Linked DNA regions of Tribolium castaneum. The protein of the gene in region 1 interacts with the protein of each later gene in a biochemical or structural test. Links are inferred from orthologs where the notes say so. Each region holds a gene or a part of one and is shown on either strand. Other genes may lie near its edges. The genes, in order: Mer, beta-Spec and mahj.

Evidence for each region.
Region 2: the proteins of Mer (region 1) and beta-Spec form a complex in vitro, tested with the Homo sapiens proteins (2 studies listed by BioGRID and IntAct). The link is inferred for Tribolium castaneum from reciprocal best matches to the Homo sapiens genes NF2 and SPTBN1.
Region 3: the proteins of Mer (region 1) and mahj form a complex in vitro, tested with the Homo sapiens proteins (3 studies listed by BioGRID, with this or other methods). The link is inferred for Tribolium castaneum from reciprocal best matches to the Homo sapiens genes NF2 and DCAF1.

Annotation. Positions count from the first base shown.
Region 1 is NC_087401.1:7,787,904-7,799,485, reverse strand, and holds the start of Mer (merlin), read right to left. Parts: upstream 5,502-11,582; 5' UTR 5,382-5,501; coding exon 5,283-5,381; intron 5,232-5,282; coding exon 5,102-5,231; intron 5,055-5,101; coding exon 4,843-5,054; intron 4,798-4,842; coding exon 4,360-4,797; intron 4,313-4,359; coding exon 4,076-4,312; intron 1-4,075. Other genes in the region: pyd3 (beta-ureidopropionase), read left to right, coding at 8,016-8,119, 8,163-8,419, 8,469-8,563, 8,612-8,818, 8,986-9,303, 9,348-9,434, 9,486-9,569; zinc finger HIT domain-containing protein 2, read right to left, coding at 9,575-9,871, 9,920-10,129, 10,233-10,377. UniProt on the Homo sapiens protein: Probable regulator of the Hippo/SWH (Sav/Wts/Hpo) signaling pathway, a signaling pathway that plays a pivotal role in tumor suppression by restricting proliferation and promoting apoptosis.
Region 2 is NC_087402.1:8,229,828-8,240,661, reverse strand, and holds the start of beta-Spec (spectrin beta chain), read left to right. Parts: upstream 1-1,462; 5' UTR 1,463-1,620; intron 1,621-6,438; 5' UTR 6,439-6,467; coding exon 6,468-6,597; intron 6,598-6,813; coding exon 6,814-10,834. Other genes in the region: transmembrane protein 184C, read right to left, coding at 67-273, 327-401, 510-712, 768-804, 885-1,147. UniProt on the Homo sapiens protein: Fodrin, which seems to be involved in secretion, interacts with calmodulin in a calcium-dependent manner and is thus candidate for the calcium-dependent movement of the cytoskeleton at the membrane.
Region 3 is NC_087398.1:977,826-988,790, reverse strand, and holds the end of mahj (protein mahjong), read left to right. Parts: 5' UTR 1-53; coding exon 54-166; intron 167-212; coding exon 213-363; intron 364-414; coding exon 415-552; intron 553-600; coding exon 601-728; intron 729-774; coding exon 775-950; intron 951-1,001; coding exon 1,002-1,078; intron 1,079-1,126; coding exon 1,127-1,662; intron 1,663-1,729; coding exon 1,730-1,868; intron 1,869-1,918; coding exon 1,919-2,417; intron 2,418-2,468; coding exon 2,469-2,578; intron 2,579-2,624; coding exon 2,625-2,904; intron 2,905-2,958; coding exon 2,959-3,305; intron 3,306-3,354; coding exon 3,355-3,473; intron 3,474-3,527; coding exon 3,528-3,761; intron 3,762-3,810; coding exon 3,811-4,209; intron 4,210-4,412; coding exon 4,413-4,497; intron 4,498-4,543; coding exon 4,544-4,753; intron 4,754-4,798; coding exon 4,799-5,158; intron 5,159-5,206; coding exon 5,207-5,276; intron 5,277-5,318; coding exon 5,319-5,506; and 2 more. Other genes in the region: trypsin-3, read right to left, coding at 5,875-6,159, 6,219-6,560, 6,619-6,782, 7,266-7,485, 7,539-7,751, 9,443-9,502. UniProt on the Homo sapiens protein: Acts both as a substrate recognition component of E3 ubiquitin-protein ligase complexes and as an atypical serine/threonine-protein kinase, playing key roles in various processes such as cell cycle, telomerase regulation and histone modification.

The DNA.
Region 1 (11,582 bases):
TCCTAGGAAATAATTACCAGTGTTGGCACATCTAGAGTTCCTTTATTGGGAGAGTTGGGACACTGAACGTCAAACCGAGCCAATTTTGTATTATGTGGATAAGGTATATATTTCTATCCTTTTTTATTAAAATTTTTGTTATTAACTTATGTCAGAGGTTTATGTCGAAATTAATTTCAAGGTTATAATTTTTGTCAAATGCATAAAATGACATAATTTTACGTCAAATTTAACCAGGGACGTAGAAAACGTAGAAATTTTGGGATTGCTATTTAAAAAATGAAAATAATTGAATACCTACCAATATTAATGTTCACATTTCTGAAATTTTTCGATACTTATTTTAATATTAAATACATAACTTAAAACATACTTCAATGCTAAAAATGCTTTTCTTTCAGTCACAATTTTTAGTTAAACATCTCGTCCCAAAAATTGGTCATCAAGAACCCTTCATATTTCCTGTCGTCTTTTTAAATTTTCAAAAAAATTATATTAAAGGTGTTCTCGTATGAAAAACGTAACAAAATCGTGAATTCCCAATAACTTTATAATTTGAAACATAATCTAAAGTTCACGTAGATGCTAAAGGCGGCCAAGCAGCGACAGGTTCAGCTTTCCTAAAAATTAGAACCAATTTTGGGTTCAAGTACTTACATATTTTATAAATGCATAGACAAATTCCCAAAATCTCATAGATTTTGTACATAACATTATTTAGACAATCCACTTTTCCAAATGCTTGTTAATAATAAACGTAAAACTTGGCAGGAAAGGTTCAATTTCTCTCTCTTTCATCGACGATTACCATTTCTTAAAGTTAAGGAAAAAATGTTTATGATGAAGAGTTTAGACGTAAAATTCTTGTACTTACAAAAAAATCTCTTTTAAAATTTGGAGTTCATATAAAAAAAACAGTGAATTGACGACGACTGCCAGTCTAAACCATTTCTAAACGCAGTTAGTCGACGAAAAATGGGAACATTTTTTAACAATTTAATTTGACTTTTCGGCAAATTTAAAGTGTAACACCACTGATTTCTATCCCAATTTGTTTTTTTACACATTCCAACCGACGTAAATAAAACAAAATTTCGAAAATTGACATTCAGTGTCCCAACTCTCCCAATATAGGAACTCTAGGCACATCTACACATTGCGATTTTTTTGATGAATTTTAATTTTTTTAAATTAAAAAACTGCTAAAGTCTGTTAGAAAATTTAAAAATAATTATTCATCGTTTAGTTAGGAAACGATTACTTAGTGCGAAACATAAGAATCTTAAAAAATAATGAAAACTGAATGAAACTGATCTACACATGCTTCTCAACAACGTACCACTCAGTTGATGCGCCAGTTTTTAAGCACCCTGTATTTGTATTACACTGGACAACAAATTTTATTTGTTTTGTTTTTTTTTTAAATAAATTATATCCAAATTAATTTTATTTTATGTACAGCGTGCTCAAAAACTGGCGCACCAACTCAATGGTGTGTGGTAGAAAAGTGGTTACATATAAAGGTAAAAATAGTAAAAAATTCTTTGTATTAAAGTTATTGATAAATAACAAATTTTAGGTAAATGATATGTGGCAACGTTGTCTAACAGTCATGATCGCAATAGAATTTGAGCAACAATAAAAATAAATTATTTTTGCAACGGTTCCCTAGGAAATAATTCCCAGTGTTGGCACATCCACACATTGTGATTTTTTGGATAAATTTTAATTTTTTTAAATTAAAAAAACTGCTAAAATCTGATAGTAAATTTAAAAATAATTATTCATCGTTTTGTTACGGAACGATTACCTGGTATGAAACATAAAAACATAAAAAATAATGAAAACTAAAGAAGTTAACACAATAAGTTTGTAGCTCCAGATTTTTTAAAATATAACTTTAGGAATTTTTTCAACATTTTTCCCGTAATCTGCACTTGCTTCTCAATAACGTACCACTGAGTTGGTGCGCCAGTTTTTGAGCACCCTGTATAGTGGATGATAACAAAAAAATATGTGTTTGTACACGTCAGGTTTTGTAATTTTTAATTTTTACTTGCCTTTAATATTGATTGTCAGAACATTCTAAAAGGTTTTGGTGCAAAATAAGTAACAATTAATAATCTTTTGTATGATGCGTTCGAGCACGACATAGATATAGAAAATAGATATATAGATATAGATTTAGCAAACGCAATAGATATGCTCTTTTGATTTAAACAACTTCTTAAACATGTTTAAATGTGTCAATTAATATGACTTTTATTGTTTATTTATAGTAATAAAAGAAAATTCGCTTATATACAGTGAAATTATGAGTTTTCTAAAAATATTTAATATTTTGTTTCAGAAACCTGACGTGATGGCCAATTTTTGAGTTCGTTTTTAGAATCTGCATAAAAATGTACATAAGAGACACGTGCTAGATATTAGAAAAAAAAGTGTTCTTTGGAATGTGCAATAAGAAATAATGTAAAATAAAGAATACAATTTTATTTTTGTTAGTTTAATAACATATTTATTTTCCTACTACAAAATTGTGCACATTGTGGTAATTTCATCTAAAATACGTGAAAAATACTGCACTCATTCGCTGTAGAACAACTTCATAATGAAAAATCAGAGAAAAAACATTTTTATGATTGAACATCGTTTTATTATGGAGAATCTTCAATACGGACACTTAAGATTGTCACTCCAATGAACTCCTTCCAAGTTAATTCACATAACAGGACAGTTCTTAATATTATACAGAGTGTATTAGAAATACCTGTTTTAGTTTTAACACGTAATAAAACTCATGAAATACAACTTTTCTATATAACATTTTGCAAAATTCTTCTTTATAATTTTTAATGTTTTCCTCCATTTTCGGTCAGTGTTTAATAATTAGTTTGTCCGTTTCTGGCACAACGAAAATAGTTGGGCTCTAACTTTTGTTGGGTTCACGTTTCAGTATGTTATCTTTTTCCAAATTTTAAATAAATTTGCAAATTTTTTATTAAAAGATTACAAATAGAATAGTATATTACGAGTTTTATAAGACGCATGCACAGATTTGGAGTAAGTGCGACATCAGTATGTTTTTTTTATGTTATATCCATGAAAATTGGTATTTAAGCTTTTGGTTAAAGATCAAAAACAAATGTTTTAGGATTTTTGGAAATTCCATCCCTAAGACTCGTTATTTCAGTTAAATTTAAAGTCAAAATCCTCAGAGTCAAGTTAATTCGAAGTTGGAAATATGTTTTTTGATTTTAATCTGAAGTTTATATTTAATTCGACATTGTTTAAAAACCGTTTAAAAACGAACTAAATCGATCGAAACAGCCCACTTTTTGAGTCGATTTAGCAAAATCAAAAACGTTCTTCCAAAACGTTAAAAAAACAAAAATTAATACAGATTTCGACATAATTTACTGCTCTTTGTTTTTTCTGTTTTATACATTTTTATGTAAAGGTATTTTTAAAGGCCCTAAAATAACTTATTAGAATTATTATTATAAAACAACAAAATCATTTTCGATCAAATTTGAGCTGTTTTATTAATATTGCGAAAAAAACTGGGTTTTTCAATTAAAAATTCAGATAAACGTTTGAAAGAGGCAAAAAGATAGTAATTTTCTATCTAAATTAATGATTTTTCAGCTTTAAATCTTGCAAAAAAACAAGTAGAAAATCCATTCGCAAGGGGGTTTCCTATAAAAATCCGTAATTTTTGTAAGTAGAACTTGAAAAAACAATGAAACACCATTTTCATTTTTAACCGAAAACTCAAATAACGATTTTCATGGGTATAACTTAAAAAAAATACAGATTTTTATACAAAATTTAACCCCCTTGGGGGTGGAATTCTTATAAAGCACAAAACCTCCTTAAAGAATGATTTTTCAAAACAATCATCTACTGTTCAATTTAATCAATTAACTTATTACAGCTAATAAAACATAATTAATTACAATGTAAATGAAAAAAAGTAATGCGATTACGTTGTAATTAGATTATTGATTTAACTACATTATAATCTGTTTATGCCCAACTCTGTAAGAGGGGCTTTCGGCCAATCAAAACTTACCAGAGCTTCATTAGCCAATCGGATTTCCTCCTGGTACTGGAGCAGGCGCTGTTCCATATTGGCCCTTTCACGCTCCGCCTCCTCTCTCAATTGTTTTTCACGTGCCAGACGATTTCGTTCAATCTGCCGACGTTGTTTCTCTTCTTTGGCGGCGGCTTTCATTTGTTGGAGTTCCATAGAATCGGGTTTACGCCTCCGCATGAATAAATCATGGTTACCCATGCACAAATCAAGAATCTGAAACATTTGTTTTAACCACGCCCCCTCAGACCACACCCACTTACCAATTTATTCATTCTAACTTTTTGGCTAAAGAAGACAAAATTTGGGGAATTCTTATCGACCGGTTTGATAATAAATTTTTTATCGTCAAAACTAATGTGTCGTATTTCGGCCCATGTGAACGTCGTTTTTGGTTGTAGTTTATTTTCCTTTTCGTAGATGTTTAATCCTAGAGGTGTTACACCTAACCACAACTCAGTCTCTTTTTTATTCATTATCGGAAAATAATTAACACCGTACATGTCCAAGTCTTGTGCGATTTTTAAATACTCCATCTCGGCTTCGTCTCGCGACATACCCCTGTGATCTGAGTACCACACTCTTATCCGCTCCTCCCACATGTCTAGAGTCATCTGATACTGGTCGATGACTCTTTGGGGCAACAAATCCTCGTTCGCTAACATTCCCGGTTTGTACGTATCTAGGTCAAAGTCTCCAAACTGGGGGCTGTTAGACAGGGGGAACATTAACCTCAAACTATTTACCTTGGCTTGGACCGCGTAACTGGCTAGCAGGACGGACGCCTCAGGGGGGCAGTACACATCCATAGAGAGAATAGCTTGCTTAACTTGGAGAAAAAAATAGTGTTTTGTTACCTCTTGAACCAGCTCTTCGGCCACTTCTTCGGGGTAGAATTTCGCGAAAAACATGAACGACACCGTACTGTGGGGGTCCTTCTGGATGCTCTGGTCTTGGACTGAAACACACACATGATTTTGGGGGCCCTCTCAGCACCAGACCCACCTTTCTTGTCCAATTTTAACCAATTGATAAACCCTTTTGAATCTTCGTATTGCAAACCGAAATACCAAGTCTCGCGTAACCCGATTGTGCGGCACACTAGCTCGAATAAATCCCTGCCGGTGGCTCGCCACTACAATGCGAAAATTATTCACAGTTTGGAGAATTGAGACGGTAAACATACTTGTAAGTTGAACTCCAATTCGGCGTCCAATGTGCACACTTTCACGGGGAAACTCTTCTCGGATTTCTTTTTGCGAAATGGAGACATTTTTTCTAACATAATCCTCGCTTTTGTAAAACCTATCGCATTATTCAACCGTAAAATAACAACAACAAATAAGGCACAAACATCTCGGTTATGGCATTGACAGATGTCAATTCGGAATACCAACACAATGGCGGGAAATTACTAGGACTTTCGGGCGATGGGGCCCCAGGAAAGGGCTCAAGTGGGCGGTTTCAATCTATATCTTAATGTTTGTAACGCTAAATGTTATATAATGCTCCTGTCGGTTTTATTTTAGTTTAATCACAAAAGTCTAGAGGAAAATTTGGCCGGTAAAACAGATCTCCGATAAGCTTCTTGTCTTTTGAATAAATTGTAAAACCAAAAATTGCTTTTCTTGCTTTTTAATAAAAATTTAATCAGGAATAGGTCTTGATAATTTTATTTTTGACTATGAGGCTTAATTTTTGTTCGGTTTCATTGAGTATTTAGCTCAAAAACGTGTTTGAAATAAAAGTATAGCTTTTTTCGATTCAGTTCGGTGATTTCATGGTTCACGAAATAATTGCATTTCTGGGTGAAAAAGTGGAAAAATTAACTCATTTTCGATCAAATTCAGAACATGTTTAACTCGATTTACGCTAATATCGAAAAAAAAAACGCGTTTTATCTCAAAACTTGCTTAAACTCTCAAAAAATGTGACAAATTATAATATTTGTGTTAATTTTTCGATTTATTTTTGAGGAAATTTCTCAAAACCATTGGGTTTTTGTTTGAAAACGTGTAATATCATGTGAAAACCCAATCGTTTAGCTCAAAAACATGCTTAAACACTTTAAAAATGCGATCATTGTGTTCATTTTTTTAATTTTTCCGTATATTTTTGAAAAAATTTCTTAAAACAATTTGGTATTTGTTTGAATAACGTGTAATACATGCGAAAGGCCGAATTTTTTGCCCAAACACGTGCTTATGCGCTCGAAAAATGCGCTATTTGTGTTAATTTTTTTAATTTTTGAGGAAATTTCTCAAAACTACTGGATTTTTGTTTAAACAAAGTGTAATAATATCATGCGAACGGCCGAGTTTTTAAGTCATAAACGTGCTTAAACGCTCAAAATATGTGATACTTGTGTTCATTTTTAAATTAATTTTTGAAGAAATTTCTCAAAACAGTTGGGTTTCTTTTTGAACAACGTATAATCTCGAGAAAATCCGAGTTTTTATCTTGAAAAAATGCTCAAAAATTCAGCGTTTTTTGGATAATTTTTAAAAATTAATTGATTTTTAGTTTACAAACATGCATAATACAACAATAACACCATTTCCGATTAATTTGGGCAATTTTTTGGTTTTATTTGACGACTTTTCACGAAATAATTGGCCTTATAGACGCGGAAGTGGTAAAATAAATTTATTTTCGATCAAATATTGTGAATTTTTAGTTTAGTTTAACAGACAGGGTGTGGCGTCTAAACCCACATTAGAAGTAATGGTAGTTCTAATAATGATAGTCATCTGAAAATTTGTATATCACCATAACCTCTAAGGTCCTGCTCAATGAAGATATTTTCAAGATGGCGACACTTCCGGTTATACCGGAAGTCGCTATCAACTTCTTTATTTTAAATGGAAAACTATATTTTTTAATGCATTTTTGAATTACTAGAGTTATTCTGAGGTAGTTTTTAAAAGCTTTCCCTATAACTAAATTTAGTCGTTTACGAAATATTTACGGTCTTTACATTTTTTTGAATTTGCACTTTCCAGTTCAAAAATCAAAATATCTTAAAAACGGTAAAGAGAAAGCTGGTAAAAAGTCCCTTAAAATAACTTAACTAATCCAAAAACGCAGTGAAAAACATAGTTTTCCATTTAAAATGAGAAAGTTGATAGCGACTTCTGGTAAAAACGGAAGTGCTGCCATCTTAAAAATATTTAGATTGAGCAGAACTCAAAGGATTGTGGCTGAGTACCAACTTCTATACTTCTAATGTGGAGTTTAGACGGAACAGCCTGTATAATATTGTTTTTGTTTCGAAAAGTTGCTTTAACGCCTGAAAATCCGCTATGTTTTTTAATTTTTTACTTTTGACGAAATTGCACTAAAAATTATGGTTTTGATTGGAAATTTTACTGAAAAGTATTGTAAACATGAATGTAATTTTTGATTCTATTTTGTGATTAACTAAAGAAGTTTTCTGAGTGGCTACCATAAATGAGTACAAATAATTGCGAAAAAAAGCGCCAGCTTTTTTCAGCTTCCTTCAGTATGATATAATTTCCATTAAACTTTGGTTACTTATTTGATTAGTAGAATAAAGGTCACTGAAAATTTGCTAAAAAATGGAAAAGACAGAGAATACACTTGATAAGATAAAAGCTATACTTATTTACATTTAATTCCATAAGTAAATAAATAATAAATAATTATACAACAGTGTTGTAACTAATTAATTAATTATTAGTTGAACAAGTGTTTAAATATTATAGACCCCTTATTCTTGTGAATCATTTTCAAGTGACATAACATAACACCTCATTAATTTTGATTACAATTAATTAAATGACAATAGTTATAGAATTATTCAAATTATCGTTATCAACTCTCCTGATACGGTCCTGTCCTTCTGACGTAACTCGATAAATAAACATTAATTCTATTTTAAAAATTCTGGCATTTCAACATGTCTTCTCAACAACACTTCACCAGCATTGAAAAAATCCTATCGAAACTCCCCCCTGATGATTACCAAAACATCCGAAACGTGCTATACGGCAAACCGACAAGGTAAGCGTCCAATCAGAACGACCAAAATTAAAACAAACTACAGCAAACTCGATTTATCGGATGCCGAAACAAAAGCAAACGATTATGACCTTGAGCTGGTCTCTTGTCGCTTCGAGGCCTCACCTGAACAGCTAAGACCACCGAAAATCGTCCGTGTTGGCATTTTCCAACACAAACTACCCCTTCCTCCCAACACTCCCATCAAGGAGATGCGAGACGGGCTTTACAAATTGGCCCAAAACGCAATCGAGACGGCTGCGAAAGGAGGAGTCAATATATTTTGTTTCCAGGAGGCTTGGAGTAAGTCCGAAACAAAATATTCCCTCGACTGTCTTTTATTTTTTCAAAGATATGCCGTTTGCGTTCTGCACGCGCGAAAAACAACCGTGGTGCGAATACGCAGAGGTGGCCGAGTTCGGGCCTACTACGATTTTTTTGCAACAAGTAAAATATTAGGCCAGGTCAGGGCACACAATAAAGCGATTGTTTTAGTTGGCGAAACGTTACAACATGGTTGTAATTTCTCCAATTTTGGAACGTGACGAAGTGCATGGCCAAACGATTTGGAACACGGCCGTTGTTATTGACAATTATGGCGATTTTTTGGGGAAACACCGCAAAAATCACATACCCAGGGTTGGGGATTTTAACGAATCGACTTACTATTTTGAGGGAAATACCGGGCACCCTGTTTTCCAGGTGAAGTTGTGCATACCGGGTGGCCACTTTTTCTGGGAAAAGTCAATTGTGCCCTTATTTGTAAAGAAAACGCAAAATTGCTTTCGCAGCTTTGTTGGGCGTGACTTAGACTATATTTCCCCAATTGTTAGGTTTATACAGAGTGTTTCATTAAAGAAATATTTTAGACGGAATTTGGCAAAATCGCTATAAATATCTGTTACGGGCGCCACCACCCGCTCAATTGGTTAATGTTTGGCCTAAATGGTGCCGAAATCGTCTTCAATCCGTCGGCAACTGTTGGTAACTTAAGCGAGCCTTTGTGGGGCATCGAGGCCCGAAATGCGGCCATTGCCAATAGCTACTTCACGTGTGCTATTAATCGCGTTGGCACTGAGATTTTCGAAACTGAATTCACTTCCGGTGATGGCAAACCCGCCCATAAAGAGTTCGGACATTTCTATGGCTCAAGTTACATAGCCGCCCCCGATGGCTCAAGATCACAAGTAATTATTTAATTTAAAAAATAGTTGTTCACAGTTAATTGTAGGGATTATCTCGGGACAAAACCGGGTTATTGATAGCCGAACTGGACTTGAATCTGTGTCGGCAAGTTAGGGACCATTGGAGTTTCCAGGTAATAAATAAAACCACGGTTTGTTTCAATTTTTTAACAAAATCATTACAGATGACGCAAAGATTGGATATGTATGCCGAACTCTTGGCTAAAGTCGTTCAGCCCGATTTTAAACCACAAATTATTAAGAAATAATTCAATCACAACGCAAAATCTTTGGCAAATGATAATAAATAATCGATTTTTCTGAGACAAGTTTTAATTTTATTTTTCGATTCTAGTTTCACCTCTGGGAAACAATCATTCGGGAAATTCTTACTAAACGATGATTTCTTTTCCGTTTTTTTCACACTGGCCGTGTTGAGTAGTCGATGCAAGTCCGAAAGGGCACACAATACGTAAAAATTTCGTTCCGTTGCATTTGGACCTTCGAGAATTTTATCCAAATCGTCTCGTAATAATTTAAAGTTTTCGCCATCGGCCACAATCCAATCACTCTAAAAAATCTAGTAAAAATAAAGTATGTAACTCGGGAAAGTTACCACCATTATCGACTCATATTCGACCGATTTGACCGCGCTTTCGTAGTCGTCGAAATTCTGATTGTTTTTCAACGTGAGAGAAATTGTAACAACACAGCTAATCACCTCCTTGGCGAAGTCGTGATGTTCACCATTGAAGTAACGAGTGGCAAAAGCGTACGCTGCCAGGACGTTGATCAAATTATATTTGACGCAATCGGCCGGATTTTTTTTCTAAAAATTACTCAAACTTACAAAACAATAGTAAACAGATTATTAGAAATAAAAATGAGACTGAACATTTGTAAGTGCCTTGCATAAGTAACTATATATTTACCGAAATTTCTCGAAAATCACGAATTTTTATCAACTGGGGACATTCAGATTTGTACAGTTGGCAAGACTCGATTTCTTCCACATTTGGGGATTTATGGGACCACCAAGGTTCCCACGATGGGATTAATTTTGTCACATCCTCGGACCTGAAACACAAAATCACAGTTTTCTTCATCTTTCTTATTTAATAGTTTTTTGATTTTATTTAATTACAAAAATATGATACAGCAGAAAATTTAAATGTGACATGGAGTGCAATAATGGTATAATTTGACAATAGCTTGAAAAGCGAATAGAAAAATACATTATTTTTAACCTTTCTCGATCATTTTAGTATGTTTTTGTTTACTTAAGAAACGCACTGCTCCGTTAAAAAGTCAAAAAATCACAAAGTACTAAAAATGTTACTTAACATTTTAACGTGTGTTTAATCATGTTTTTGCAAAAATTTTACAATCATTCTAGCTGGTTTCACCTGATTTAATTCGCTGCTGAACCAAAAACTCATTTACTTTGCAAAATTTAATTAAACTCGGTTGATAAAACAAACGACTGCAAGTTCTTTTTTACCTTATGAAAAATAAAAATGTTTGAAAAAAAATTGTGTTCACCTATGAATTACTGTTCGGTTAGTAGTTCTTTTTTTAAGTCGAACACAAGATCTCTAAAGAACTTTTTTAACTTATTAACAAGTTTCCAACTTAAATAAAAATATTGAAAGGGCCCCAAGTTTAGAAACGCGACGAATTCCTGTTGCTTATCTTTGATCTTTGGTCAATTTCTCCCAGACTTTAATGTAATGTGTGTTTAATATTTATAATTGTCTGGAATTACAAAATAGTATTGATGTCTTAAACTCGTGGTTTAATGGATTAGAGTTGAACACCAAAAAATGTAAAAAGATCACATTTGCTAGAAATACTAATTTAATTAACTTTTATTATAATATAAATGGTACCGTACTTGAAACGGGCAATAAAATTGCGGACTTAGGCATAGTTATGGATAATGGTTTGACGTTTACACCTCATATTTAAGTTCTGTGTATTCAGATAAGATGAACGAATAAATTATTATTATTATTATTATTCAACTAACTAATAGTGCATTAAAAACTCTGGGCTTTATATGTAGAAATACAAAAGAATTTACTAATGTAACTTGCATTAAAACTTTATTTTATGCTTTTGTTGGGTCTAAACTTGAATATTGTTGTATTATTTGATGTCCATTCTACCAAATATTGGAAAATATTTTAAAAGATTGGAAAATATTTTAAGAAAATTTTGTAAATACTTATATTTTAAAATTTATAATAGATATCCTGTAAGGAACTGTGATCAAAGTGATC
Region 2 (10,834 bases), on another chromosome or scaffold:
TAAAAAAAACATAAAAACTATACGCCGTGTCACCTCCTAATATGGAGTAACTTAAAAACAACTTACAAAAAAGAGAAGAAAACAACAGCCTTAATGCACAAAAACTTTGGTAACGGTTTCATTGGTCTCAGTTCTGCTATGTTAGCTTTGTAAAACATGACCAAACAGTACATGGCCATAAACTGTGATATGTTGTTGACAGCTATCAGATATGGAAAAGCCACATTTCCTTTAAATTCGCCGTCACCATAAACCCCAGACACTTTACAGATGCTAACAAATTACACAATTAATAAAATTAAGTAAACACAGTTGAGTAAACATACAAAGAAATGGCAGTGGTTAGAGGCCTAACAACTGTATATTGGAGAATTCCGTGCTTGCAGATGTGAACGAATTCTCTATAAAATTGCATAAAGTTTATTTGACGTGACCTGTAGATTTGAAATTATGTTGGCAACAGCAGATTAGTTAATGCTGCCAACTTAATTTCGTACACATAGTATCACCTTCCCATTTCCCAGTCAGGTAAACAACATAGCGGAAAAATGTGTTTCACTTGAGGTTTCAACTCAAGACTTGCCTCAAGATCCATTTCCATGTTCAAATAATTCAGCAAAAATCTCATAAAGTTGTATATTACATAAGCTTCATAGCATTCTCTTAAACTGTCCACATAGACTGACTGCTTGGGATAAATAAGCCCCAACCACTGTAAGACATCATCACAGCCAAAACCTTAAATCTGGTTACAAGTCATAACTTACTGCATTGATGGCATAAATGGGAACCATCCACAATATCCTAAAGTACAATAATTGCGTCAATATCGAACCGAACTGATAAGCCGTCTATAAAACCAATCACATTTTTGATATTATTACCTGATGATATGTTTCTGTAACTTGGGCTGGGTGTAATGTATGACATGCTGAATGATTTCCCACAGAGACAAAGGAATAGCAACCCAAACGAAGATTCCAGCAATCAAAATTTCTTGGTCTCGCTTGTTAAACCCATCCTCCAAAGACTTCACTAAGAATAAAGGCACGAAAACAAGAGCTGCTAACGCGTAAATAATAATCACCAATGGTCTTATCCATAATCTCCAACGGGCCAAACAATTAAAACAAGTTTCGAACGGCATTTTCAAAAAACATTTTACATTTTTGACACTTTTTTGTTATGACAGATTTTTGACAATGGACTGGGCTGACATCTGACGGGCACTCGACGCAACGGCCACAGGGCCGGACTGTGCAATTTTTATTTTAGGGGGGAAAATGGCATTGTTTTGTATTGCAAATCTGGTTTTGACTATTTATAATTTACTACAACCCCACGTGGCCCTTCCCTGCCACAAAGGAAGTTACAATTAAGTAATCAAGCGAAATCAAGGGCATCCAACCTAGCGCCATCTATTCTCTACGCAACCAGCCTACTATGCGTTGGGCGTGTTGTTATCGTAATTATGCGCATGCGTAAACGAGTCTCGTTAATAGCCGTCATGAAGGGCGTTTGTGTTCGCGAGGTGGTGATTTTATAAAAATAACAGTTTTTTAACTTATGAATGTAAGTTTATCAGTGAGACCGACGATATTTAAGTAGTAACGATAACAGGTAAGTCATCGTTTTTTGCCGGTTGCTGCGGTTACCAATAATGTCGATAAATCTTAACCCAAGTCTCTTAAAATGGCCGAATAGGTGTAACCCAAACTTTACTAAACTGTTAAATAATTCAGTAGAACTGTATTGACTGGCTTTTTTCACTTTCAGTGATGATACCTTTATTCTGGTTGTTGAGCGAATTGGCCTTTTGTCGTTGATTCAAAGTTCAAAATGCATTTGTTGCTATGTCAGTGAACTTGGAGGTGGTTTACAAATGTAACCCAGTGCCGGGTTACTGCCCTTAAGGGACAGGTCAACTGTAATAATAGCCGCCCTACAAATTTATTAATTTTGTTAAATTTCAATATTATCTTTAGGTAATATTATGTAGCTTCTTTTGATCATACTTTTTCCAGGTCAAGAGTATGGTCATAATCCCAAAATAAATTGGTAAATGACTGAATGTCACATTATTTGATAAAGCTAATGATGGCCTATAAACTCTTGTGTCTTTCGGTGTCTATTAATATCTGTGATGCGTGCATGAGTCATATTTGTTGTAAATAGTATTAAATTTAAATTTTTACGTAATCATCAAGTTGTTACATAATAATAGTGCAAGTGTTTGTGTAGTAGGATTGTGTTCTTATCGCTACAACTCTTTCCTTTTAAACCTGCACATTTTTTAAACGTTTTATCACAGTTCAATAATAATGTTTGTGTAGTAACTGAGTAAATATGACTGTTCTAGTTTCCATAGTCTGACTGTTAGTTCAGACTGTGTTAATTAGCTGCCTTGTGTATAAAAATCACACATTTTTACTTCAATGAGACATGAAAAAAGACAAAGTTCACTTATTGCTCGTGCTTACGCATTTGCTTTTAATTTAATCTAACTAATGAGCGTTTAAAAACGTCATATTTCTGACAAAATTATGATCGCCTAATGATAGTCTTTAAAGACTTTAAAAGGACTTAGGTGTACTTGTACTTGTACTCTCTTGTATGCGTTTTACAAAAGATTGTAACATTGATTAGTTTAAATTTGAATTATGTTTTACTATATTATCAGTTTTTCGTATAATTTGGCATTGTCTTGTCAAATAACTTGCTGAATGATATAAACGTCATTCAATAATATTTGTCAGTTTGACAAACTGACTTTAAATTGAAATAACACTGTTAAAAAACACTGCTACCAAAAAAAAAATTGAAGTAGCTCTTGTTTTCGTAATTTAATCCAAACTTGAAATGCTTAATTCCATGATCTACCACAACACACCTGTTTTCTGATAGGATTACATATAATCATAAACAAATTGCGTCACACTTCCTTACCTAGCAAATATTGAAATATACATACAGGGTCAGTAAAATATATTGAACCATGCATTTTTTTAAATTCTTCGTGAGAGATAAATAATAATAGTATAATATCTGTTTCAAAACTAAAAACAACTGTCACTTTTCGCAATTGGTTTTCTCTTTAGATTCGTGAGTTTTCTTGGCATTAAATTTAACGCAGAATCACACGGAAGTACATCAGTTTAAATTTGTGATCTATTTGATCCTAAAAAATGTACATGCGTTGTTGCCACTTTTTCTACAGTTTTAAGTCAGATAGTAGTGTCCTCATGTTTTGAGAATGAAATATTGTTTTATTTTCAATGTCAACTTATCATGAACAGTTTTTACGACAAAAATGTTTTTATTAAAGATAATGTTATTTAAAAAATAGTTCAAAAACGCAAATTAGTTTTTAAGGCGACTACGTAATCAATATTTCATCAGTTAGCTTTTTTTCAAAAAATAAATAACTTAGGCAAACGAAACTTAGTTTTTTTGATTCACCTTATGGTAAAAATAGTACGTTTTACTTTAAAGACTGCTAAGTTGTAGCTAAGTAACAGCCAATCATATTGTGAAAACAACACTTCTTAATTATTTTACCTTTACTTATATAAAATTTTACTTAATTTTGAATTGGAGCCGTTTCTAAATCAATCAGCAGCTATGTAAAATTTAAGTAAACTACTGGCACTCCCAAAGAACATAATATTGTCTGTTTAGTTTAAAATCACTCAACGAAATAATTAACATTTATTACAGAATAGGTAAACCAATTGCTCATCTTCACATATATACACATAATTATTTGTAACATTACCAATTGGTCCAATTTAAAAAATAAGTCTTATTCAACTCTGTTCGTTGTTATTTTTAATAACTTTATTAAGGCAGAAAGAAGTTTTATTGGTGCTTACGTATTCCACAAGCACCCGATATTAATGATTACTTACAGGAAGCATTATGTATGTTTCCGCCGTTACTGCTTTTAGAGGGAAATTATTGATTTTAATGGAAGACGTGCCTTTAGAAGGTTACGCATTTTGTGTACAGAAATGTGAAACGAATATTTGTGCACAGACTTTTTGTTTTATAAGAACTGAATTAATGTAATTTCTATTTTAATTAATAAACTTCATCAATTACCACGATTTAAGTAATTTGCTAATTGGTGCTGTTATCACGCCAGTATGTTTTTAGGTCAAATAAATATTAATTTTGTCATGTTCTGACGTGGTGGTTACATTAATGTGTTAAATAAAAACTAATTTACATTTCGTCTTTTTTAGTTTAGTAGATGACTAGGAAATACTTCATGGGCAAACAGTTTTGTGACTTATAATTGAAATAACCTTCTTAATTTTCATTGTGCTGTAAGTTCGAAAATTATTTGCAAGGTTCCGCGATTTATTCTGAAATACTTGTACCATTTTTAATAATAAGCATGTGTTGTTTAAGATGATCTAATCCAGAAGCAATTTTAAATACATCTAATCCTAACCAGAAGCATTAATGTTATGTAAACAAATAAACTAACTTGTGGGTGGAACATGTACCGTAAACACAGTTGTCTGTAAGATTTTACGTGCATGGGTTTTTGATCGGTCTTATAACGGTTCAAATTCGTTGATGATAAATTTTTACCAAGCAAATATATCTTGTTTTACTACTTGGAATGGGGAATTTCTTGACAAAAAGTTACTATTTTCCGAACACAAATTGGCTCGAAAGTAGGTAATTTGTGTCAATATTGGTTTAATTAGTGTCTGGCGTCTCGTTTATGGAGCAACGTTGATGCTTAATTCAATTAGGTTATTAATTACTTACCTATTAAGGTATACATGTTTGAAGATGCCTCAACGTTACGTATCAGAGTTTTGTTTCAGTTTTTACGTACGATAAATTACGTACTAGCGTAATATTAGTGATGAATGGAAATGCTTGAATAGGGTGTGAGGATGGCGTGAATTTTTTATTACATTCAGGTATTACAGTTCGTTGAGCACTTTGCCCGCACATGCCGATTTTTGGTGTTTGAATGTACAGGCATCTGTTTTAATTTGTGCAAAGGCCAGGGTGTTAACCTTGATTAGAAAGTAGTGGCATGAATCCAATAGCTCTTATCTAATTAGTTGATTAAAATAGTAAAGTAGCCGTAATGGCTATTATTACTGTGGTAAAGGTCAAGCACCCTTCTATTTGTACCCACTGTGAGTATGTAATATTCGGTTTGATTGAAGGTAATTGGCATCGTCACTGGCTGGCAATGTTAACTATGTCATAGTGTTTGTTACATCATCGTGAATTATCTCGAGGTAATGTATTGCGAGAAAAATAGGTAATTGTACCACATCATTCACGTCCCCAAATGTGCGTTTTTTGTCATTTTAGGGCGCAAGAACCCATTCATTACTTGTAACTAAATATGAGTTACGTTCGTCATTTGTCAGGAAGTAGCCCAAATATGGCCTATTTGATGAAATCATCATTCACTTTTGTTTTATGGCGGTTTATCCTCGATTGTATTTTCTGTACATGTTTTCGTAACATATTCACTTATTTTTGTTACTGTAGTCATCTTATCAAACAATGGCAAATCAAATTAAATCTGGTGTTATGTAATAATCTGTGATCACGATCTGAAAAAATTAGTCGAAGCGAAGATGTTTTTATTGACACAAAGCCAATCAATGTTTGCGGACATTCACTGAAGCTCTAAAATGACAGATCAGTTTCCTAAATCTTCGATATTCAATCCCAACTTGACCCAATTCGTCCAGCTTCAGTCGAGGTCGTCGCTTGCGAATTTTGCGCCGCCACCGGCAGTTTTACCGCACTACAGATCGAACCAGACGCTGCAGTCCGGCTAGCGAGTGGTTCGGCTAGGTCAGGCGTCGCGACGCCAGAACTGGCTGCCATCGTCGTGTGTCTGACGTCGCCGAGAAATCGATTTACCCAAATAGTTCCTGATTCAGGTTTTCAACCTTTTTCACGTCAGCTGTGTACTTTTACATTCAGTTGATTCGTATTACGTGCAAGTGAAGATGTACTCGCGTACTGTGTGAACAAGTGTTTGGTCGATAACACCGAATGTGGCCGTAATTACATTTTTATTAGTTTTCGCTTTTCTGTTTCATTAATTTTGCATGGACTTACCTAAAGCTATTTTTAACAAACACAAATTAGGAACCCATCAAGTTGGGATTGTTAATCAATATTTCAGGGTGAATAAGTGAGTGATGCCGATTTGGGGAAATATAAGAGTGTCTTTGTTGCTTAGAACAATGTTAGTTGTGTTAGTTGAAGGTCTTTCTCACTACGAAACACCCACAAGAGAGTCTGTGTGGGAAGAATAATTTCTTTATTAGTTACGACAGTTAATTTAAATCTTTTACTGCATTAACTATTTTGCATCAAATTCGTCAGTGCTAAAAATAAACGGTTTAGTGACACAGCGGCCTAAATAATGTGCCTTTTTTCTAGGTAGCCAGCTTTGCTGGTGAGTCAACAGAATGACCACCGATATCAGTATAGTGAGGTGGGATCCCACCTTGCAGCAAGAAATTGTCGAGGACTATGAGTACGATGGTGGCAATTCATCTTCCCGACTTTTCGAACGATCTCGCATTAAAGCTTTAGCGGGTAAGTTTACGATGCAACTCTCAATTTTTGTGGCACTCTTATCTAATGTATTTTATCAAAACCAAACATTTCCTGTGTCAAGTTCAGTGTGTTTTCACCATACATTTAGTTAACAGAAAAATGGAATTGGAGGTGGATAAATATTACGACAAAATAGTTTTAGAATTGCGGGGTAAATACACTCAGTTTGTAACTTTTAGTAATTTTTTTACACAGATGAAAGAGAAAGCGTCCAGAAAAAGACCTTCCAGAAATGGGTGAACTCTCACCTGGTGCGGGTGAACTCCCGCATTACCGATCTCTACACCGACATGCGAGACGGCAAAAATTTGATTAAATTATTGGAAGTATTATCGGGCGAACGTCTGCCTCGTCCAACCAAAGGAAAAATGCGAATTCACTGCCTGGAAAACGTCGATAAAGCTCTCCAGTTTCTCCGAGAGCAACGTGTTCACTTAGAAAATATGGGATCGCACGATATTGTGGACGGAAACCCCCGACTTTCGTTGGGTTTGATCTGGACCATCATTCTCCGATTCCAAATTCAAGACATCACGATCGAAGAGACGGACAACCAGGAGACCAAGTCGGCCAAAGATGCACTGTTGCTGTGGTGTCAGATGAAAACAGCCGGCTATAATAACGTCAACGTTCGAAATTTCACCACTTCGTGGAGGGATGGTCTAGCTTTCAACGCACTTATCCACAAACATCGTCCGGATTTGATACAGTTCGAGAAATTGTCCAAATCGAACCCCATCCACAATTTAAATAATGCGTTTAACGTGGCTGAAGATAAACTGGGATTGACGAAACTTCTCGACGCTGAAGACGTGTTCGTGGAGCAACCCGACGAAAAATCAATCATCACATATGTCGTTACTTATTACCACTACTTCAGTAAGATGAAACAGGAGACGGTCCAAGGAAAACGTATCGGTAAAGTCGTCGGGATTGCGATGGAAAACGACCGAATGATTAAAGAATACGAGTCACTAACGAGTGATTTGTTGGCGTGGATCGAAGCCACTATCAAAGCCTTAGGGGAGAGACAATTCGCCAATAGCCTTGTGGGCGTGCAACAGCAATTAGGCCAGTTCAATAATTATCGCACCGTCGAGAAACCACCGAAATTCGTCGAGAAAGGCAACTTGGAAATCCTTCTTTTCACACTACAATCCAAGATGAGAGCTAACAATCAACGACCTTACACTCCGAAAGAAGGCAAAATGATTTCCGACATTAACAAAGCCTGGGAACGATTGGAAAAAGCCGAACACGAACGAGAACTCTCCCTGCGTGAAGAACTGATCCGACAGGAAAAACTCGAACAATTGGCCGCTCGTTTCAACCGAAAAGCCAGCATGAGGGAAACCTGGTTGAGCGAAAACCAGAGATTGGTCTCGCAAGATAATTTCGGCCACGACTTGACCGCGGTTGAAGCCGCAGCCAAGAAACACGAAGCTATCGAAACCGATATTCTCGCCTACGAAGAACGAGTACAAGCGGTTGTCTCAGTGGCTGGGGAACTCGAAGCTGAGAATTATCACGACATGGAGAGGATTAACGCACGAAAAGAAAACGTCCTACGCCTTTGGAATTACCTCCTGGAATTGCTTAGAGCACGTAGACACCGATTGGAATTGTCCCTACAACTACAACAGAACTTCCAAGAAATGCTCCACATTCTCGATGCCATGGAGGAATTGAAAGCACGTCTTTTGACGGACGACTACGGCAAACATCTCATGGGTGTTGAAGACTTGCTCCAAAAACATAACTTACTCGAAGCCGATATTAACATACTTGGAGATCGGGTCAAAGCTGTGGCAAATCAATCGCAACGTTTCCTGGACGTGGAAAGTGAGGAAGGTTACAGACCGTGTGACCCAGCCCTAGTACTGGAACGCGTGCAACAACTCGAAGATGCGTATGCTGAGTTGGTTCGCTTGGCTGTGGATCGCCGATCAAGACTTGAGGAAAGCCGCAAATTGTGGCAGTTCTACTGGGACATGGCCGATGAAGAAAACTGGATCAAGGAAAAGGAACAGATTGTTTCAGCGGCCGACATCGGGCACGACCTCACCACTGTTAACCTGCTCCTAAGCAAACACAAAGCTTTGGAGAATGAAATCGCAGGGCACGAACCCCAGTTGGACGCTGTTGTGGGAATTGGGGAGGAATTGGTCAATTCCGGGCATTTTGGTGCAGAAAAAGTGCAAGAAAGATTGACGGAAATCCGCGGGGCTTGGAAACATTTGCTAGACTTGGCGGCTTATCGCAGGAAGCGATTGGAGGATGCCGTCGATTACCACCAACTCTTTGCAGATGCTGACGATGTCGATATTTGGATGCTGGATACTTTGCGACTGGTGTCGAGCGAAGACGTTGGCCGGGATGAAGGCAATGCACAGTCGTTGCTTAAGAAACATAAGGACGTTACTGAAGAACTTAAGAATTATGCCAGCACCATCGAAGCCTTACACCAGCAAGCTCAACAGTTGGGACCAGAAGTTGCCGACTCGCCAGAAGTCTCGCAAAGATTGGCTTCGATCGATAACCGGTATAAAGAACTGCTCGAATTGGCCAAACTCAGAAAGCAACGTTTGTTGGACGCACTCTCCTTGTATAAATTACTGTCGGAGAGTGACGGAGTCGAGCAATGGATCAGCGAGAAGGACAGGATGTTGCAGACCATGGTACCGGCACGTGATATTGAAGATGTCGAGATTATGAAACATCGCTATGATGGTTTCGAGAAAGAGATGAACGCAAATGCTTCGAGAGTTGCTGTAGTAAACCAACTCGCACGTCAGCTGTTACACGTCGAACATCCCAACTCTGAACAGATCACAGCTAGACAGAACCAACTCAACCAGAAATGGGCGGAATTGCGCGAAAAAGCAGAAGCGAAACGAGATGAACTTAACTCAGCACACGGCGTGCAAACATTCCATATCGAATGTCGTGAAACCACGACATGGATCGAAGATAAAATTCGGATCCTACAAAGTACTGATAGTTTGGAGATGGATCTGACTGGTATTATGACACTTCAACGACGTTTGTCCGGCATGGAGCGCGATTTAGCCGCCATCCAAGCCAAGCTCACTTCTTTGGAAAAGGAAGCGTCCAGTATCGAGACAGAACACCCGGAGGAAGCAGCCGTTATCAGGGAAAGAATCGTTCAGATACAGATCATATGGGAACGACTGACCCAAATGTTGAAAGAACGCGATTCGAAATTGGAGGAAGCTGGCGATTTGCACCGCTTCTTGCGCGATCTTGACCACTTCCAAGCCTGGCTTACCAAGACCCAAACCGATATTGCGTCCGAAGATACGCCCAATTCGTTGGCCGAAGCGGAAAATCTCCTGTCACAGCATCAAAGCATTTGCGAAGAGATTCACAACTATACCGACGATTACACTAAGATGATGGAATATGGGGAGAAAATCACTGCCGATCCCAGCACCCAAGACGACACTCAGTACATGTTCCTGAGAGAAAGACTGAAGGCTTTGAAGGACGGTTGGGACGAAATCCACCAAATGTGGGAGAACCGGCAGAAACTCCTATCGCAGTCTCTTAGCTTGCAGTTGCTTGATCGCGACGCGCGACAAGCTGAGGTGATTCTCAACCAACAAGAGCACACTTTGTCCAAAATCGAGACTCCTACGACGCTCGAACAGGCCGACAATCAATTGAAAAAGCACGAATCATTCCTTACGTCCATGGAAGCAAACGACGACAAGTTCAACGCAGTTATTCAGTTTACGAATCGTCTCATCGACGAAGGGCATTTCGCTTCGGATAAAATCGCAAAACGCGCTGACAATATTGACCAACGCAGATTAGCAATAAAAGAGAGAGCTTTAGCATTAATGGAAACACTGAGAGATCAATTAGAATTGCAACAATTCCTGCGAGATTGCGACGAATTGGGAGAATGGATCCAGGAAAAACACATCACAGCTCAGGACGAAACCTACCGATCGGCCAAAACAGTTCACTCGAAGTGGACCCGTCATCAAGCTTTCGAAGCCGAAATTGCCGCAAATAAAGAGCGACTACTTAATTTACAAAAGACTGGCGAAGACTTGGCTAAGGAAAAACCAGAGTTTGCGAGTGAAATTAAGCCGAAAATTGAAGAACTCATCGACCAATTTGATGTTTTGGAACAGACGACGAAAGAAAAGGGCGAACGCTTGTTTGACGCTAATCGCGAAGTACTCAT
Region 3 (10,965 bases), on another chromosome or scaffold:
AGGTTATGTTAAACTACCTCATGCCCTTTATTTTATAACGTTTTGAGCCAATAATGTCGGAAAACAGCAATTCGACTTCTGTTATGTCAGAAGTCACAACTCTGATAAGAAACTGGGAAGATGAACATACGGCGCCTAATTATGACCCCATTCAGACACTCACCAGGTAGATCTTGCCTTAATTTGGCAAATTCTTACCCTTTTGTTGGCAGATTGGCCGAAATATGCGAGGTGGAGACTGAAAATTACCTGAAAATGGATCCTGACCCATTTGATGAACGCCACCCTTCACGAACTGATCCTGACTGCAAACTTGGCCAAATTTTAAAAGCGCTTTTTAGGAAGGATATTTTTATGAACAAAGTATTAACTCTCCACAAAAACATAAAAAGACACACATAAATATTTTTTCAGCTTGTTAACGATTATTTGAGAGAAACGTACTACTCTCGGTCAGGAATCACAGACAAGGATGTTGATCAGTTGAATATTGCAGCTTGTAGGTTGATGCTAGACGTAATGCCTGGCTTAGAGACATCAGTGGTGTTTCAAGTACGTGTCAATTATTTTTTTGGGGGGAAAACTAACGACTAGTTTCAGCCCGATATGGATAATTTGATTCACCGTTTAATTAAATGGACTACAAATTCAATAGAACCTCTGCAAAGTTACGCAACGGGGCTTTTAGCTGCTGCAATGGAAATTCCAGAAATTGCCACACGTTTTAGGTAAGTTTCCGCTTTGGTCTTATCGCAGTTAATTACCAAAAAATAGGGAACAAAACGGACGACTTGTGCCTTTACTACTTCAAAGACTGCGTAGGCTTCAAAATTCCTCGGAATTTTTGACCACGACAAATACTCGACCTTTTGCACACTTATCTTCAATGAAGTCGCCCCCTTATCGCGGTGACGGTGTCGTAAAAGTTTCACCCTCTGGTATTAAAAGGCGTACGTAACGACACCCTATTGTATTTTACCCTTCAATAATTATTCTTACAGCCCGCGAGAATGGAGTTATTCCAAATTCGAAAACAACACTTAATAAAGAAAACACTGATGTGATTAACACTAGTGAGGTAAGCGCGCCTTTTCCTCCTCGTGATATGGTCTCACGTTTAATACAGTTATCAGATTCGGAAAGCGGCCAAAAACGCAAAAAACTAAAGCTGGAGCACAATTCAAGCGAAGCTGATGAAGGCTCTCCTCAAAAACCCTTCCTATTTAACGAAACGAGCAATTCGTCGTGGGCAGAGCTTGAAAGTTTTATGATTGGAACCGTGCAAATTTTTCCGCCAACTATAGCAACGCGTCAAATACTCATTTTACGTTATTTGACACCGTTGGGTGAATATCAGGAGTTTTTGAGTCATGTTTTCGAAAATGACGCTCTTAGTTTGGTCTTAAAGTATGTGAATGTCCGAGCGACTAAAGAAGCAAGACTTGCATTTGAAGCCTTGAAATATCTTGCTGCTCTTTTATGCCACAAAAAATTCTCGATTGAGTTTATTCAAATGGATGGTCTTGAGGCACTTCTGGAGGTGCCAAGGCCGTCAATATCAGCCACTGGGGTCTCGATTTGTTTGTACTATTTGGGGTATTGTGAGGAGGCAATGGAGAGGGTTTGTCTGCTTCCGAAATACATGATCACCAGTTTAGTCAAGTAAGTCTAAGTTATACCTTACAGTTTGTAAAATCAATTAAAACTCATAATTTAAAAAAAATCTTAGGTATGCTTTATGGCTTTTGGAATGCTCACACGATTCGGGCCGATGTCATGCTATAATGTTTTTCGGTCTCACGTTTCAATTCAAAGTGATTTTGGAGGAATTTGATGCTCATGATGGGTTACGAAAGTTACACAATGTGGTAAGTTTATCCCAAGTAAAAAAAATTGTTTGCTAGAGTTATATGTACAGATTTCTACTTTATCAATTTTACTGCCGGACACCGATACGACTCAACTAAACGAAGATCAAGAGTGCGCCGCTCGTCAAATCGTTCGCCACGTTTGTGTTGCATACCGTCGTTACCTTGAAGCTCATCTAAACCTAAAAGTAGAACCAATTAAAAGATCACAACTTAGACTTAACGAAAAAATGGCACAGCCGCCTTTACCGGCGCAGCCGAGCTACAAACCGTACAAGTCATCGCCTGAAGAGGTGCAACAGAACGTCGAAACGTTGTTGCAATATATGCCGTTTCGGTGCCATTGGACGCCAGTTGATCAGTTACTCAAATTAGGGGGAATCACACTCTTGTTGAAAATAATCGCGTTTGCGTATGAGTGGAATTATAGTGGGAGGGCTGAGACGGTCAGGTCGGCTTTGGATACGTTGGCTATTGCGTGTGTGATGCCTAAAGTTCAATTGTTATTTTGTGATAGGGTGGAATTGCCAGAGGAGAGTGCCACAGTTGGTACGAGAAAATCACAGTTTTGGGATTTTTTATTGTTTTTTTCTTCTGTAGGGATTAATATTATTTTGGGGGCCGCTGAGGGTGAAATAGTGGCCGATGCTGATGTACAAAAGGCTGCGCTTCGAGTCATTGTCAATTGTGTGTGTGCCCCCATAAATAGGGTACGTTTTTTACCGTTTCCAGACGTTTGTTTGATTTTTTTGTTAGGTTGGTGGTACTTTAACCCGATATTCGGCCACGGTTAACAGCCCAATTAAGAAAATTAAACTCAAAAGTAGCGAAGAATTGATTCAGAGAGTTTGGGATTGTGTCAGGTCTAATAGTGGTATTATGGTTTTGTTGCAATTAATGAATATTAAAACACCAATCACTGATGCGGACTGTATACGAACTTTGGCTTGTAAAGCATTGGCCGGCTTAGCACGGTCGGAAACTGTCCGACAGATCGTGTCAAAATTACCGCTTTTTACGAGCGGACAACTGCAGAGTAAGTCTTGATACGAGGCGAATCCGAGTGGGGTAACAACTGACTTAATTGCAGATTTAATGAGGGACCCAATTTTGCAAGAAAAACGCCAAGAACATGTGACTTTCCAAAAATATGCACTTGAACTTTTGGAACGACTTTCGGGGAAAACGAAACATCGGGGAAATGACTTGGAAGTTTCTTTAGCCAACATACATAGAGCTAACGTTGTGGCTCAGACTAAAATTCAATTCAATGATCGGCAATTGTTACAACTCATCCACCAACATTTAATTACGAAAGGTTGTCCAGAAACGGCCTCTATGTTAGTGAAGGAAGCAAATTTGGGAAACTCAGTCACGCCCATTTCAACAAATCAACCAACCAAATTCCGATACTCGTCCACTCTAACACCATCTAGGGTAAGTAGCAATTCACCAAAGCTATAATTAAGTGTAACAAATGTCTTAGCTTAAGTTAAATTTCACTCCAATGCAACACCGCACAATACCGCAGTCACCAGTGCAAAAGGAGGAGACATCGTTTATTAATAGTTCCAACTGTACTTCCCCTGCTATTAAATTAATAAAGTATGGTCGTCATTGTAGATAATTATCATATTTTTTGCTAAGAAAAAATTTCAGGAAACACCAAAATCAAGTGGTCGCGACACCACCGGTCCAAAACTCCCGATTACAGAAACAAACGAATAGCGATGTTGTAGTTAGGGTGCCGAGTCAGAGCTTGCTTGACGAACCGACGAATCCACCCGAACAGCCCCGAGTCACGCTCGATTCGATCATAACCGAGTATTTAACCAATCAGCATGCGTTATGTAAAAACCCCATGGCCAACTGTCCCAAATTCAATCTCTTTATGTAAGTTTAAACTCCTATGATTGGTTGTGTTTCTGATGGTGTTTTCTAGTCCACATAAATGCCCAGACCCTAAACCAAAGATAGCCTCAGCCAATAATTTTGTGGTGAGGTGTGCGCGACGTGCTATTGGGTATCAGTCCAAGTCTATGGACCGGAAATTTATTCATTCGAGATTTTGTCCAGTTCAAACGATTCGGTCGTCGTCCGATGGCGATTTCTTCACTTGTGCGAAATTTTTACCGGGTGATAAAAGCATAATCGTGGGTGATTACAGTGGTGATATACGAATTTTTAATCTGCATACTGGAAATGAAGAGTTTATGTTTCAAACGCACGATAATTATATCGTTCATTTGGAGCCTAACAGGAGTGGGGAGTTTCTGTTGACGAGTTCCACGTGGGGGCGGCCTCTGTCCGCACTCTGGGCCATAAGGAACTCCGAGATGAAGTAAGTTTTTTACTTTAAGTCGAACTTAAAATTTTTTTGCGAAACTCGAAAATATCAAAAACAATTGTCTAAAAAATTAATTCAACTCGCAAAGCGATTTTTTTAACCGTTTGTATAAAACCATACAGTTGGTGGTCTGATTTGACCACTCGATGACCAGAAATGTTCGGTTCTGCGAATTTAGCGTCTAACTTGTGGTTTAGGTTTGCGCTGGACGATGAAGAACATGTTGAGTTTAGTAAAGTGACACAGGAGCGGATTGTGGCGACTAAACTTGAAGTTGCAACAGTGAGTAACACTTCACAGTTTGGCAAATTATAATTTTTTCAATTAGATTTACGACGCCGTCACGGGCCAATCAATCTTGCGTTTAGTTCCTACAGATAGTAACCAATACACTAGAAATAAAGCCACATTTAGCCCGTTCGATGATTTGGTTTTATCAGATGGTGTGCTTTTCGATGTCAATTCGGGCAAACAGATTCACAAGTTGGATAAGTTGAATCAGACCCAAAGTGGGGTGTTCCACCCTAACGGCTTAGAGGTACTTTCGCTTTTTTTGCTTAGGGAAATACATAGTTAATTGTAGATTGTATCAAATACTGAGGTTTGGGATGTGCGAACTTTTCATTTGTTGAAAACAGTGCCAGTTTTGAATCAACGTACTGCCGTTTTTTCACCGGTCAATAGTGCGATTTATGCCATTTCGATGGAACAGGAATTGGATAATGGTGACTCGACATTCGATTCGAGTTTTAAAACAGTGGATGCGATCGATTACTCGAGTATTGCTACTATTGACGTTAAGAAAAACATCTACGATTTGGCGGTTAATCGGTTCGATACGCAAATTGTGATTGTGGAGAATCAGGGGGTTTACCAGTCGGTTCAAGAGTCCGTGGTGCGGATCTATGATGTCGGGAGGAAGCGAGACGATGAGGATGAACAAGTAAAAAGTTTAAGTTGTGGTTGCGTTTTTGTTTATTTTTTGATGCAGGATGAAGAGGACGAGGAAGAGGAGGATGATGATATGGATGGGAGTGACGATGACGGTTCCGATAATGATGGTAATTGCAGAAAAGTGGCAAAAGTAATATAATGTTTTGCAGTCGATGTTGATTTTCTAGATCGATTGATGCTCAACGTGGGCGGGAATAACGACAACAACGATAATAACGCCAACAATGATGATGACAATGATGAGGACGATAATTTCTTCGATAGTGAGTCTGATAGTTGGACGACTACGTCGACTGGCTCTGATGATTCGTTCACGGATGATATGTTCGATTTTTGAGCGAACCGTAAAATAAGGTTTAAATGTGATAGCAATTCGAAAATAGTTAATTGGATGAGTGGGCGTGTGTCTGTTTTTTATAAGGAAAACGGCATTTGATGATTTTCCAGCTTGTGGTGTCAAGTGTGTTTTTAAATGTGAGCCGAGTTTGGAATTATGTTGAACATTGTGTATTATATTTCATAAATAAATACAATTTCAAAGGAACAAGCGTTTGATTTCGTGCCAAAAATCCTAGGACATTGTCCCCTTGCGTCAGCACAATTACGACGGACGGGTCAATAAAACCATCACTTTTTACAAATCAAGTTTATTGCTCAGTTAATGTCAAAAATAGCTATAAAAGTGTTAAATTTGCGAATACTGAATTATGAGTAGTGGTCCATCACGTAATAGATCCACTTTAGGTAGTTAAACACAGTGGTGTAAATGCCGTACTTGTTTTTCAAACCACAGCCGTCCCCAAAACTTGTGATGCCTTGGACGCTGTATGCGAGTCTTGAACGCCGTTTGAAGGGGCACATGAGCCCCCCGCCACTGTCCCCGGCGCAAGTGTCGGCCTCCCCTGACGACCAACCAGCACATAACATGTTGGGGGTGATGAGGAAGTGGCGGTAGGAACGGCGGCAGACGCTCGCCGCCACAATAGGAAGCTGGAAAAATAGTATATTAAAAAACTTTTGGAAATTTGGAGAAAAATTATAGCAGTCACCTTGGCCTCGTGCAGCGTGTGGGTGCCGTAGGTGTCGCTGGTCCTGACCTTGCCCCAGCCCATGACGGAGCAAACCTCCGAGGGCCTGGGCCTGGTCTTGGGCAGGCAAGCGATGGGGAGATTAACACTCCTTGGTAGTTGCAGTAGGGCAATGTCATTATCCACCGTTTTGTGGTTGAACTTCGGATGCTGGAAAATCGTGTGAACAGTCATCTCGAGCTCGCGTCCATCTCGAGCCCTTAGGTCATGTTCGTTCAGTCTTACGCGTAAAATCGGACGTATGCAATGACTAGCTGTGAGGACCCAACGTGGGCCTATGAGAGTGCCTCCGCAGAACACTTCCTAAAATTTATAGCCGAGGTTATCAAGCGTTGAAATTGACCCATTTCGGGATACCTACGTAGTATTTGTTTAAAATGGCAACGTGCCAAGGCCACTTGTACTTCTTCGATTCGGTGCCGCCGATGATTTTCAGCATTCGCGATTTGCGGAAAGGCTGCCCACAGCGGCGGCGCTGCGGGAGGCGGCGGTCCAAGTTGTTGTAGTGGTAGTAGCGGTTGCTTTCTTTAAAAGGAAACGAAATCATATGCAGAAACCGCTTTAATGAGGTGACCACAACTCTAATTTTGGAAAACTGCCTAATTTGAAACTTCTTAATCAGCGCACAATGCTTTTGGAGCAGAAATTATTAGGTCTAGAACGTTTTTTTTTACCTGGACTAGAAAAAAGCAAGTGGTAATGTAGTACATTAGTCCGTAATGATTACTATACTTAGAGGGTGATTCAAAATTGGTTTTGTTATAATTAAAATTAACTAATTTTATCCTTCATATTTTTAAGGGACTTGATATTGTATTAATAATCTTTTTGCTAGAGCAAATAGTTTTGGCAAAAATCGCTCGGTTCTAGGTATATTTTCGCCCAACGCTGTGTTTATATATTTTTATCATTATTTACTAACCAGCTTTATGATTATTTATTTATTGAACCGCAAATATTTGAACAAAAAGGGACCCGTTTTCTATTCGTGGATAATTCCTTACGCACCGTATGCGTCTTGGTTATCCAACAAGTTCAGAACGTAGTTTTCACACATGGAATTGTCGTGGTAGCAGTAGGCCGTCTGCTCCTGCTGCTTCTTCCTGCAGCGTCCCGGCTTCCTGCAAATCCTGATCCTCTGCGTCCTGCAATTCTCCGAACAGGGCGACCAGTTGGACCATTTGCTCCAAATGCGAGAAGGCGCTTGACGCAGCAAATGGCTACTATCCTAAGACAATGAATCCGTCTTAAAAAACACACTTGTGAATCCCCCAAACATACTTCGTTCAATTGTACGACCCGGAATTGTTTTTTCTGGCGCGCTTTCCTCTTGCAGCGTTTCTTCCCGCAGGGTTTTTCTTCGTAAATGCGGGAATCCTCGCATTTGGGGGAAATACACTTCTTGATCCTTCTCTGAATGCAGTCGATGCAACGGCTCCAGGGGGACCAAGGCGAGTAGCGCGCTTCGGAAATTTGGAGGTCGTGATGATGGGTCTGAAAATATGGCTTGCGTGACCCAATTTGGAGACTGCTAAATCGATTCAATTGCAGTTGTGCAAGGTTTTAAGGCGGAAGTGTGGGAAAATTGGAGTCATTTCCGGATTTATTTTTGGTTTCGCACAGTTTGGCGCGCGTTGGGACAATTTATATTGGGGCAATTAAGGGGAGAGGCTCAAAAAGGCCCTTGTTTTATTTAGACTAAACAAATAATTAAAGGCGGGATAAGAGCTCATTCAGGATTTGGTGATTTATTTATTTCAGGTTAAGTTTGGCGTAACACGCATTTTTACACACTTATTTATTTTAATAATGCGGAGAACGGAAGACACAAAGTTCAAGTTTAAAAAAATAAAAGTAAATAATAAACGAATTTTGATAAAAAAACGGTAACACCGCATTTGAGATTGATCTATAGTTACAAACAACGTATATTTTGGTGACTTGACCCAGTTAAAAACCTATTGTTCTGTTTCATTTTTGTAATAATTAAATGGAGCTGTGATTAGGTTGATTACGTGATAATACTCAATACGGCCCTGAGTTCGCGATGACACCCAGATTTATGGACGCTTTCGGTTTTATTTTAGTACCAAGCAGATTTATTAGAGCAACCATTTAAAAGGAATTTTTCATAATTGCTCGTATTTGTAGCGCGATCATTAAAATTTTTCTTCCTGAAATACTATTATTGTAAACTTGACTTGGCTAAATTTAAATTTCAAGACCAAATTATTTACACATCGCATCCTCTATAAAGTGAGAAAATAATCAAATTACAATCGTAGGCGATTTTGTAATTATTAAACGTATTCTATTTCAAAATATTTATTTATGTGGCAAAGTGAATTATTGCTGTATACAAAATATTTTTTATTGGTTATTAAGTCGCAATAAATAAATTAAAAACTTTCTGGCACGTACAAGTGTCAGTAAATAAATATTTGTTCGCTTTGACATGGAAAACGTTCCTGAAATGTGAACTTTTATCGATGTTGGTCAGTAAGGACAAAAACAACAATTAATTAAATAATCTCGAACAAACACCTATTCATCACGAGCTGGGGACAGGGTCGTGTCCCAGTGAGACTTCTCCCCTTGATGACGTAAATATTTATTCACAACAATTAATATTTACAACGGCGTTCGCATTTAATCTCGACTTTCTGGGTTCAAGCAGGTTCAAGGTGCTATTGCCACCGATCGTCTTACCCTAGTCCAAAAATAGTTGTCTCATTGTAAGTCTACTTAATTTGAAACTTTACGACCAGGGACCCAGATGGGCTCAAACTAAAGGTCAAACAAAGCATAGGTCAGTAACTCCTGGTTTTAAATTAGTCTCGCGCCCAAAAAAATCCATGAAATAATATTGTCACGCTGTTGGCATTTGACCCAGATCACACACAATCGAACCCATCAAAAGGCGGGTTCGATTTCAATTTCGTGAATGAATTGCCGGAGCAGTGACCCATGGACCATTCATCCCAATTGTCTCGAATTAATTTGAACGCTATTTTTAAATGGTTAGCTACCTGCGGACTATTTAAATATTGATTCTTGCGTTTTTTGTCTGCCAGTGGCGTTCGCAATTATCGCATGTGATTGCTGTTTCTGTTATTACACTTGGGAAAAATTGCAGCGCGTGCATTGCGAGGCCAATTAAAGTCGGGGCAATTTTGCAGACTTACCTTATTATCAGCCTCGCACATGACTTGAAGCAGAAGTAGAATGAAGAACCGGAGGCGCATCTTAAATTAAAACAACTCACTTTCGGTGTTCATAATATGGGCACGTTCACTTGACGGAAGCAAAATTTGTTTATTGTGCGGGAGGCAGAGCGGAATTTTTTTCCTTGTAATTCATTGTGATTTTGACGTGATGTATTAAAGCACGACTTGGCCAAGAGCCGGCTGCTTTCGATACCGAGCAAACCAAACTAATTCCGAGTCAGTTGACTTCTACTCTGTTGCAATCCCGCCGAAACCTGATCTTTGAAATACGCTAGCTTAAGCGCCCCACACACTCTCAGATCATCCGACATTGGATTAGGACTGGAAGATTTTCAAAAAGCGCTTTTTGTGACGGGGCTTTTTTGACAAGTTTTGGAAAAGCCGAAGGTCTGACTGTTTACAGAAATGGGTTTTTTCCAAAACTAACAACCAAGCTGACATTCATTTTGGGAGTTCCTAATTTTTTTGTCAAAATGGAAAGTATTCGAATTTAATCAAGTCTTAGTTAGAATAAAACTCCTATTAGACGTGACTTGACTAAGTTTATCATCGTTTGAAAACTCTTTTGATTTCTATTTTTTTGACTAATGTAGTTTTCGAGAAAGTTGCAAACAAAAGTTAAAATGGATAAAAGAAAAAAATTCATACCTAAAAAACTATTGGGAATTTTGAGATTTAATATTTTGATTTTTTTTGCTCAAGAAAGTGAAAAAATTATTTTTTTTAATTCGTTCTATCATACTTTTTCGTATTTATATATGCCTTTACAACTCTCTAGAGTTGTTAAAAGTCCAAAAAAAGTCCATATGTTCGATTTTTTGATGTTTGATTTTTTCAATTTTCGTCGCAATTTTTGTCGATTTTGGGTACCCGGAACATTTGTTGAGCAATAGCTCCGGAACTATCAGAGATAACCCCATGAAGTACTATCGTTGGAAAGCTCTTTGAATTATCTATTTTTTTCAAAAAAAATTATTGTTCTCCGACTAATAGTTTTTGAGCAAATTGCAGATAAATGCAAAAATTGGTAAAATTTTAAAAAATTCACAACTAAAAAACTATTGGGAATTTGGCAATTTTTTCGATGCCAATCGATTCCCCGGATCATTTTACATAGGTTTACATCAATATAGTTCCATTTTTTCAATTAGTATTGCCGTAATTAAAAAAATAAAAAAAATAAAAATTTTGCTTATTTTGGTGGTCAAGTCACTCACCTTCACAAAAATTAAATACTAATTTTTTTCAACACTCGCTCTAGCAAAGATGTATGGACCTTTTCATGTCTTTACATTTATTTAGGATTCTTAAAAGTGCCAAAAGTCAATTGCTTCGTTTTTTTATCTTTGATCTTTCCAATTTTTGTCGAAGTTTGAAAAATTTTCATTTATCTGGTAATACCCTCGGAACTATTGTAGATAACCCTTGAAGTGTATTATCGTTGGAAAGCTCTTTTAATTACCTATCTTTTTCAAAAAAGA